Linked DNA regions of Nothobranchius furzeri. The protein of the gene in region 2 interacts with the protein of the main gene of each other region in a pairwise test. Links are inferred from orthologs where the notes say so. Each region holds a gene or a part of one and is shown on either strand. Other genes may lie near its edges.

Region 1 (3,520 bases), on a different chromosome or scaffold from region 2:
TGCGCCACAGCAACAAGAAGGGGATATTTTGAGTAAATAGAGAACAGACACACTTGCAAAAATACTAGAATCACGCTTATTTTTTTACCTCCTTCTCTGCTTCTTTGAGCTCAGCCTCCTTCTCTTTGACTCGTTGGACAAACATTTGTCTCATTTCCTCTTCCTTCTTCTGTAGTTCACCCATGAACTCGTTCCGCTTTGCCTCGTATGTCTCCTGCAGGCTGCATCGTGATAAACACAAGTTGTAAAAAAATAAATAAAAATACGCTGGGAGAAGAATAAAAATAAAATAAAATAAAAGTCCAGCAGCACAGAAAAAGCGCCACCTAGAGTCTACTACCTGAAAGGTTTGCTGTCAGGATCCGTATCTTTAAAGCCCATCTCTTCGAGCTTGCAGCGACGGTACAGCTCGTAGTGGCGTGTGTGGGTCTGTTCTCGCAGGTCCTCCATATTCACTCTAATGAGCATTTCTCGCAGTTTGACAAAGTCACAGTGATTTTCATTTTCCACTGTGAGAAACACAGAAAAAAATCAGTTTAAAGTAAAAGACTCCAATCAAAGACCCAACCTTAACCCAAGGTTCATCACAAGCACCCAAACAATATTACCTCATATTTTTTAAATTAAACACATTTTTGCATTTACTATAGGCTTCATGTTAAAAAAAAAAAGAAATAGACAGATATGGGTGTTCTATTGCCGATACCAACGCCGATATGTAGCAGTAATGGCCAGCTGATGGCTAATATATGCTGCCAATTTTCATGGCCAATAGGGAGACGTTTTCTACCTTATTAGCCTGCAAAAATGTCACTAACCGTGGATCCACAACATTTTTTGCGCAAATCAGTTTTTTTACTCTAAATTTAGCTTAATTTTATGCAAAATCAAACATTTAATCAAAGTTAACAAAAAAAATCAATAAACTAACCAAGTATAAAATACACAACTGGTAAATAAAAAGAAATGTCGGTTGACAATAATGTATTAGAGTATTTTTTAATAAGCAGATGCTTTTCAGGAACAAATATATTTATGTAGAATTCAGCAGCAACACGGCTGCCCACAGATGTGCCCGTTTCTAAATCAGCTCTAATAAAGAGATACATTAGCCGAGGCCAATACAATACAATCTGCCTACAACCTCTGATTTTATTGAACTGTTTCTCTCTTTGTTTTTTCTTGTTTGGGTTTTATTATTGTTTTATTGTATTTTATCACGTGTTTTCTGTCAAGTGACCTTGGGTGTCCTGAAAGGCACTTTTAAATAAAATGTATTATTATTATTATTATTATTATTATTATTACAAGGTTTCCCCCAGAAAACTTGCTAAGCCTGGTGGACTGTGAGAGCGGGGTGGTGATTGGGGGTGTCATGGACCATTCCCATCTGTACCGGGTCGGCCCGGGCCGGGTAGCCCCAGTCGGCCCCAGCCTGGCCCGGTTGATTCCACACATCCTTGTCTTAAGCCCATGTGGGCTGATTCTACCCACCAATCAGAGGCTTGCTCTAATGGAAGGTGTGAATTTGCTGTCAGCAGTGGGTGTGTTGGCCCTGGTCGGCCTGAAGCAGACCCCCTCGAGAAGAGGGCTGAGAATGAGCCTTGGTTGTCCTGGGAAAATACCAGGCCACCCAGATATGTAAACAACCTACGCTACCCGGCCCGGGCCGACCCGGTACAGATGGGAATGGGGCTCGCTTCGCCACTGTGCCTCTTCCATGAGAACAGAAGGGGGGCGCGGATTGTTTCACTACCCTGCGTTGTTCGTGACTGCAGGGGAGGGTGGACGCTTGCCCTGGTGTTTCGCCAGGCATAGAAAGCACTGGGGGAAGCCCTGCAGTATGTAAAAAAAGGGAAATAGTGGCCCGATACATTGTTCTATTCCTACCAGAAAAAATAAATCTCGTCTTTCCTCACAGATGGGGCCTAAAGTGCCAAAAAGTTTAAAAGCAGATGAACTAAGTTTAACTAATCACCTCTGACAAATAAAAAGATTCATACTGCAGCTGATGTGAAATAGACAGAAAAGCCACAGCAGATCAATAGAAACTCCATTAGTGACATCACAGGTTGCCAAAGCATAGAGCTGCTGCTGCCGCTCAGTAATCCAAAATAACGGTGAGGAAGAAGCTGGAGCTGAATACGGTCACAGGAAAGGTTATCAGCTTGATCCCCCAAGAGCTCAAGAGAAGCATGAAGGAAACTTCAGCTGCTGTCAAGAAAGGGACTAGTCTCATTTCCTGTGCAGGATGTAATGTAGGCTCACCCTGCACCGTCCCCCAGGGGTACTGCCGGGCCTTCACCATCTTATTCCCGATCTTCACTTCCTCTGTGCTCCCCACCACAGCAAAGGGCAAATGGCTCTGTGGAAGGAGAGAGCTTTAAGTGTGAATCTGAAGCTTCTCCTTAACGTCTACAGCTGAGTATGAAGATAAAAGACACCAAACAGATTGAACAAAAAGAATAACAACAAATCAATTCGACTAATTTGCTGTAACTGAACCAAACAAGGCCACAGCTACTGATTTAGGACCGTTAGTGAAGGCGTTTCCCCAAGTCCAGGTTAATAAACAACTAAATGTGGAAACAAAGCCTGTTCCCACACTGCTGACTTCCTGCAGCGAGATTGAGACTGCCACTCGACCACATCAGTAAACATGACAAGGAATATTTTGATTCACACAACATGACGCCGTTTAAAGTACTAGGTAGCATGTTGTTTATCATGCAGACAGGTTCGGTCTGAGCCTTACGTTCATGGTGGAGTTGATTTCCGCCACGGATTCATCATCAGTGGGGAACTGGTAGATCTGGACTCCATTGCTGACCAGCTCACTGGTGATTTTGATTTTGAACTTGGCCAGTTCACTCTTGGAGATGGCGTCTGACTTGGCGACAATCGGGACAATGTTGACCTGGTGGCAAGGAAAGCATTTTTTTAGACATCCAGCTAAATTTAGACCGCCGTTTAGCTCACTTGCTTTCAAAAGCACTGCCTCCGCATCTGTGGTCCAGGATTTAGAGAGGAGGGGATTTATCATCACAAATTAAAACAAACACGCCACAAAAAGCATTTTGATTGGGTAATTTTTCAGGTCTAAATGGTTAGATTTCAGATTTATTGGCCAAGTAAAATTACATTTACAAGGAATTTGGCTTCGGTAGATGTTCGCTCTCTAAAACATACAACAACCACAATAAATGAGAATAAACATACCTAACAACACATAAGAACATGTATACCCACACTCATGTTCATTTACAAACACACATATATACATATATACATGCACGCACACACACACACACACGCACGCACGCACACATGCACACACACACATATCCATAAGCATACTGAATAAGTATTAAAAACTATAATAAAAAGATGGTAAAATAATCTACAGATTCAGGAGAGAAATAGCTGAAGGAAAGAAACTGTTCTTGTGTCTGGTAGTTTTTGTGTACAGCGATCTATAGCGTCTGCCAGATGGGAGGAGATGGAAGAGAGTAGATGCAGG
Region 2 (4,219 bases):
ATACCAATCCTTTTAAAACCATGTGATTGGGCCCGATTTCCGATCACGTGACTGGATCGGAGCATCCCTAAATTATTTCTAGAATTTTAAGCTGCTTTACGAAGTTTTATTTATTTTATTTTTTTCAGAAAAAGTATCTAATCACAGGCTAAAACTTTTTTAAATATTTAATTTTAAAACTTCTAAATCCAAGGTGCACAGTAGCTCTCCTTTGTTATTTTAAAGTCTTAAGGTCCAGAACACTAATTTATATATTTACACAATAAAAGCCTAATTTGCTGCTCACTGTGTGCTTCTTATTGTTGTGCCTTTCTAATAATCCACACAGAAAGCTGTTATTTGGTTCAAATGCATTTGGTGGACCAAAGGAGAGGCAGAATTTTAAAATATTAAACAATAAAAAGTGTAAGAAGCACTGGAGGAGTTTACATCTTTAAGGCCCTTCTGGAAGGTGCTCAGCTAACATCCCCTCAAGAGTCCAAGCGATCAGGTCGCCAGGCTGTGAGCACTGGAAGCTGAAGCCTGCGCACGCTGCACCACACCTGCACACTTCTCCCTCCTCTGCAGCTTGTGGTTTTGAAACAAGCCCTCATTCCGTGGAGCGCCGTGAGTTCCGTCTGGGAAAGTCAACAGCCCTGCAGGTACAGACACATCCTACCATGACCAACCACATGGAGGAAACTGACATTCTGATGGATGTGCTGCTCCAAGCGGGGAGGGTCACAGACTTACCGTATCCCTCAACGCGCCCGTCTTTGAATTCCCCCTCAAATTTCATGCCGTCGTATCGGCTGAAGACTCCCGTGCCTTGAAACTTGCCATGTGCAAATTCTCCTTCATACCTAGTGTGGTGTAAATAAACCAGGATGTTGTTTGCATCTTTTAACAAAGTGCAAAAATGTTTACCCTTTCTTTGCACACGAACCGGGACCCATCTGTAAAACGCAGCACACCAGATCCATGAAAGAGTCCATTCTCAAACTGGCCAGTGTAGCAGGTTCCATCTTGAAACTTGAGCTGGCCGAGGCCATGCCTCCGACCTGGAAAGCATCACATCTTAGTGAATATTACCATTACATTCCTGGAATATCATATCAGAGCACATTTTAACTTCATTTAAATACAAATGCCTCAATAAAGGGAGCAACCAGCTTCAACTGTGATGCCTCTGAGTCTGACAATGACATATTTTTTTGCAGAGCCACTTCAGGTGTCAAGAAATTGGACACTTGGATTTAAATACTTCCTTCCAACCAAATGAGATAAAGATTTACTACTGAACTAGGAGCCCCATCTGTCTCCCGTGCAAGTGGGAATTACGGCCGTCTAATCCTGCAGGTTTGCAGTGATTTCTATTTTAAACCTGAACCTTAAGTGAACAAACTGCACCACGACACACAAAAACTGGGTAAAGGAGAAATGGGAGGGGAAAATAAACACGAAGAGTTAGAACTGCAATGCACATTTAAACACAGCATAAAGGATGCTGTTGTATTTTAATTAAATGAAATGCTCCTTGAGGACTGGCCACACTTTCCTAAACAGTTCCAAACTCCAAAGTCAGGCTCAAAAGGGATTAGACAAAAGCAGAGCTGTTAAATCTGGCTCTGCTCGTATTAAGTTACCAGCAGCAGCTAACTGCAATGCACCTGCAGGTAAATGTGAGAGTAACACAGGTAATATCATTTAGATATTTCCATTCTAAATAGATAATTAAGCCCACACTTATGCAGTTTTAAGTTTCAATACATTTTTCATCTCACTGACAATTTTGTTACTTATAATTTGAAGAAAACTGAATTTCCAAGAATCAGGAGTAAATGTAAAGAACGAGCAGTTCAGATAGGAGCAGGCAGGAATCTAACAAACACTGAAGAGACGTTTCTCAGTCACCACATCCTGTAACTCTGACAAAACCTCTCTGACGTGCATGGAGCAACACAGACAGATGTCTCCGTTTGGATCGGAGCTGTGGAACAGAACCATCTTGCCTTCTTTCCACTCGCCATGGTATTCCTCCCCGCTGGCATAAGTGAAAGATCCTCTGGTCAGGGTCATGGTATTCCTGTATTCAAGACAAATGCATGCAACAACACATGGTATTTAGATACACCTGACTATTCTGAGCAATTGACAACATGTCTCTTTACTCTTCTTTTCAAAATAAATGTAAACATGGACAGGGATTGATTTATTGATTGGTTATAAATCATATAACTGAAATCAATTAAAAAATATCTGCAGTTTGACAGCGACTGCTTCAAATTAGAGTTGAAATGAGTGACAGATTAATTATCAGCTAAAAATTAATTATGACACCTAATAAGGTTAGCATTTAAGCTTGACTGCAGACAAACGCAAGCTTTCCGCACAGTCATTTCCAAACAGCCTATTGTGTTTTAGTGAGTCTCCCTTTAAAACAAATGGCCACGTTACAGATGGCAGACAGCTGTCATTTTACCCAGGCGGCCGCTAGCAAATTAATAATTCATCACAAAAAGGCTGAGAAATCCACACATGATTACAAATACACGCCTAATTAGCTGTCAATATGTTTTCGATCCATACTAAAGCTCTGAAGAGGCTCTTCGCTTTGACCGATAAGCCAATTTAAGCCAAAAACCTGAAATTAAACGAAAATCAGAGGAAAATAAAAGCACCTATATTGGTGTAATTTACCTGCACGTAAGGGTTTTCGTCCCTGGAGCATGGAGGCAACCGTACGGGAACGGACGGGCGTAAATAAATAAAAACACCGGCTGAAAAACGGATGGTGCGTTTAAGTGCTGCCCGTAAAGTTGACTAACAACCCAGTGACTGTAGGATAAAACCGCGTGAACTAACACTGTTTGTATTAAAATACTAAAACTATTCTTCATTTTCATTATTAAGAACTTAAAAGCGTTTTAAATGATGGCATCTGAATATCTATGACGTTTGTGAGAAACTAAAACCAGGAATTCCGAGTTACATTTAAAGCAACATTTAAGAAGAAGCTCTTTAATGGCATACAGCAGCTGAGAGATTTATTTCTGAAAAAGATCTTTATTTTTTTTACTCTTATACTCACTAATTTAACCCATTTTCATCATTATGGTTTAAATAATGGTCCTGTCATATAAAAATAAATTTGTTGACTAAAATTATTTTAAATTTGTACTGGACTGAGATAAAAAGCAAAACTGTGTTCATTTATAAGCGAGTAGTTTTAAATCTGAAATGTAATAAATCGTTATTTTTTTCTCCTATTTAACAGAGAGTTGTACTGGCAAGAATCTAGTTATAGACTATTTCTAACAATGGGGGGATACGATATATTGCGATGCTAAATAAACAAACAATATTTGCAATTTTCAAGACTAGATGATTGGGAAACACTGGCTCAGACACTTCAGACACGTTTTATCCCGGTGTTACCGCAAGGTCTTGTCATCAGAGTGAAGGTGGTAAAACTGCTGCCACCTAGCTGTTGGAGTTTGAACTACATAACACAAAACAGTAAATGTTTGCATGCAATTTTGATAAATTGCTTTGAAATATTTATTCATTATCATCTTTTTAAAATACTTTATAGTGTCATTTCACTCTATCTCCTATTTTAGATTTGGACACAACATTTATATGTATATCATACAAACATTTTCTTACATCCCTATTCTTTAAATTAAAACCACAATGCTAACCCAGGGAAATATTGTGGTATGATTCTTTTTCTTTTTACTATAATCCATTAATTATTTTTTTATCTACACACACAAACGAATGGAAATCTCCACAAATCTAAAAAAATATATATGAATAAATAAATATTCCAGTTTGAAAGCAGTGATCAATGAAATAAATATACAAATTATGTGGGTATGGTTACATGATCAAAATGTGAAAGATAATTGATGATGAATAATTAGATTTTTTGTGTTCCCCTTTAAACCAAAGAACAGTAAAATTGCAGTTTTGTACTATTTATGTACAAAACGATTAATCAATAAACTAATATAATCAGATTATTTAATCTGAGCTCTGTGTTGTAATGAACAGCTCACTCCCTCTGGAACCGTTTCCTCCCCTTGACGAAGGCGCGCGCGCGTCCACGTGACCGAGCGCTTCCTCTTCTCGTGCCCGAGCATCAGCCAGCGGACAAATAGAAAATGGCGAGTCCGTGCAAAAAGCAGCAATGCACAATCGACAGGCGCGGCTTTCGGCAGGAACTTGACTCGTG
Region 3 (2,329 bases), on a different chromosome or scaffold from region 2:
ACTCTTCTGTTCCTCCAGACGCCCCAGCACCTCCTCCTTCTCCTTTGTCTGCACCTGCAGCTCCTCCTGGAGCTGGGCCATTTGAGCCGCGTGGCTCGCCTCTGCAGCCTTCATCTCCTCGTCTTTCAGAGCGAGTCGAGCCTGAGCGTCAAGCGTCGCTCTACAAGAAGAGAAACGTTCAAAAAGAGGAGCAGATGGCAATTGTTACATCACAGACAGAAAGTGAGTTTTTAGTTTACCTGGTATTCTCCTCCCTGGTTTTCTCCTCCATCATCAGCCTCTCCTGCCGCTCCTCTGTCCACTCCCTCAATCTTTTGACCTCCTCCTCTTTCTGCTCAACCATTTTGTCCATCGCCTCCTTCAGCTGCCGGGTCACGCTCTCCAGCTCCGCTTCCAGGTCTCTTCGCTTTTCCTTTGCTCCCTTTAGAGCCTCCTTGGTGCTGCACAGTCAGAAACGCCGTGTGAGCCTAAACCTTACAGGAACCACGCCGACTGTCAGGAAAAACATCAGGAAACGCCGGCAGTGGAGGGCTCACCTCTCCAGCTCTGTGACAACATCTTCCATCTTCTTCTGGGAGGTGAAATGCGCCTCCTGGAATTCCCTCAGCGTAGCCAAATGCAGCTCGTTCATGACGGCCACGTCGCTGCTCCTACTGAGATGCAAACAGAACGCGATCTGTGGTCAGACATGACCGGAGGCTCGCTTGTTTCCTGGGTACATTTTTAAATCATCTCATCAGATAGAAACAAGGACTTGTTTAGAGAAATTGAAGCGTTACGACTCTGACTCGAGTCTTTTGTTGAATTCCAACTCGTTCTTAAAACAACATTTTACTTTAAGATGTTCTGAACAACTTTTGTGTTGAATTTAGCGATGCAACGATATCACTTTTTCCCAAACCGATACGATACCGATACTTGGATCCGAGTACTCGTCGATACCGATTACCAATACCACTGAAAAAAATGCAATGATTTGGAATACAGATTTAAATTTTCTTCTCTGCTTTCAACAGGAAAAGACTGTGAGGTAGATAAAAAGTTAAATATATGAATGGAAATGGTCACAAAACTAAAATATTAGGTGAACAGAAATGACAAGTTACAGTGAAGCCACTTTCAAGCAACTGCATTGGTATTGGTTCCTGGTATCGATTAACTTTTACCGATACCTGTATTGGCATTGGTATCGGTGCATCCCTAGTTCAAATGTGACTAAAATCTCATTAATCATACGATCATCCCTCTGATAGTGCGTTCTCCTTCATTGATGCAAACAGACAACCTCAAACATTGAACGTATTCAGGGGGAGTGTGTGAAGTTTTGCACATGTATGACTGTACAAATATGGCAAACCATTATGATATAATTATAAGTTGAACCAGACTCATTTCAATGTTTAATGTTGTTACAACCGCTGCGATTGAAGAAAACAAGAACACATCCTCTTGGGGGGCTGCTGTGCCCGTGCAACCAGCTGATTGGCTGCTTCTGCCGACGCCCTTCCCTGTACGAGCGGCTGCACCTGCGCAGCATAACAGGCTTCTATGTGCGGTTTGGAAGGACTCAGGAGGATGAGGAGTTGAGGCTTTGGGAGCTCTTGCCTGTGTGGCGTTGTAGAGGCTGGGTTTTAATAAAAATACACTCTTAAACATTAACCTTGTGTGCAGACCTCCTTTTGCTGCCGTCCCTCAAGCCGGGTTGTAACAAACGTTGTGACTCATTAAGATAATGTTTAAAATTAGATTCACATTCATTTCCTACAAATATGAAAAAGTAAAAGTTTAAATGTAACTACTCGTTAGGGATGCACTGAAACTTTCGGCCAAAAATGACCCAAAAGAGCGTTTTTGGTTTTCGGCCGTAACAGACCGTCTGGTGAGCCGTTTTCATCTCTCATGTGGAAACTTGCTCTTTGCCTCATAGAAACAGCACATCGTGCTGATTTCCTTGGTAATGCTGTTTTGCTGCGATTGCTGTAACACTCATATCAATTATGTGAGACTTTCAGCTTCACTGCATCGTCTGTGACTATTAGCGGCGTTTTTACCATCCTCTCTACACCCACCATGTCCTGAACACGGTGAAATAAGCTTGGGATGTTGTGTGTGGAGCGTGTTCACGCTCATGAAGCACACAGACCTTCTGTTCCTGCTGCAGCGTCACTTTCTTACTGGGCGAGTGAATATCTTCATCAGAGGGTGAACAGCACTCTTCAGAATCGGAGTCAGCCACGTTGTCAACAATGAACAGACCCGTCATCGGTTTCTCCTCTCTGATGTAGAAAAGTATTCACCCTCAGTGTGCTTCGCTCACCTCCTCTCCTCA

What was found. The genes of interacting proteins can lie anywhere in the genome.
Region 1: the proteins of morn4 (region 2) and septin6 interact in binary tests that used the Homo sapiens proteins (3 or more experiments, as listed by UniProt). The two-hybrid records come from large-scale screens. The link is inferred for Nothobranchius furzeri from reciprocal best matches to the Homo sapiens genes MORN4 and SEPTIN6.
Region 3: the proteins of morn4 (region 2) and hmmr interact in binary tests that used the Homo sapiens proteins (3 or more experiments, as listed by UniProt). The two-hybrid records come from large-scale screens. The link is inferred for Nothobranchius furzeri from reciprocal best matches to the Homo sapiens genes MORN4 and HMMR.

Annotation. Positions count from the first base shown.
Region 1 is NC_091741.1:85,739,228-85,742,747, reverse strand, and holds part of septin6 (septin-6), read right to left. Parts: intron 2,918-3,520; coding exon 2,756-2,917; intron 2,366-2,755; coding exon 2,269-2,365; intron 510-2,268; coding exon 341-509; intron 222-340; coding exon 89-221; intron 1-88. UniProt on the Homo sapiens protein: Filament-forming cytoskeletal GTPase. Required for normal organization of the actin cytoskeleton. Involved in cytokinesis. May play a role in HCV RNA replication.
Region 2 is NC_091752.1:21,507,655-21,511,873, forward strand, and holds morn4 (MORN repeat-containing protein 4), read right to left. Parts: upstream 2,813-4,219; 5' UTR 2,680-2,812; intron 2,066-2,679; 5' UTR 2,059-2,065; coding exon 1,992-2,058; intron 1,041-1,991; coding exon 926-1,040; intron 843-925; coding exon 733-842; intron 655-732; coding exon of another isoform or gene 636-654; coding exon 487-635; 3' UTR 334-486; downstream 1-333. Other genes in the region: wu:fc17b08 (titin homolog), read left to right, coding at 4,149-4,219. UniProt on the Homo sapiens protein: Plays a role in promoting axonal degeneration following neuronal injury by toxic insult or trauma.
Region 3 is NC_091742.1:50,692,469-50,694,797, forward strand, and holds part of hmmr (hyaluronan mediated motility receptor), read right to left. Parts: intron 654-2,329; coding exon 537-653; intron 441-536; coding exon 240-440; intron 161-239; coding exon 1-160. UniProt on the Homo sapiens protein: Receptor for hyaluronic acid (HA). Involved in cell motility. When hyaluronan binds to HMMR, the phosphorylation of a number of proteins, including PTK2/FAK1 occurs.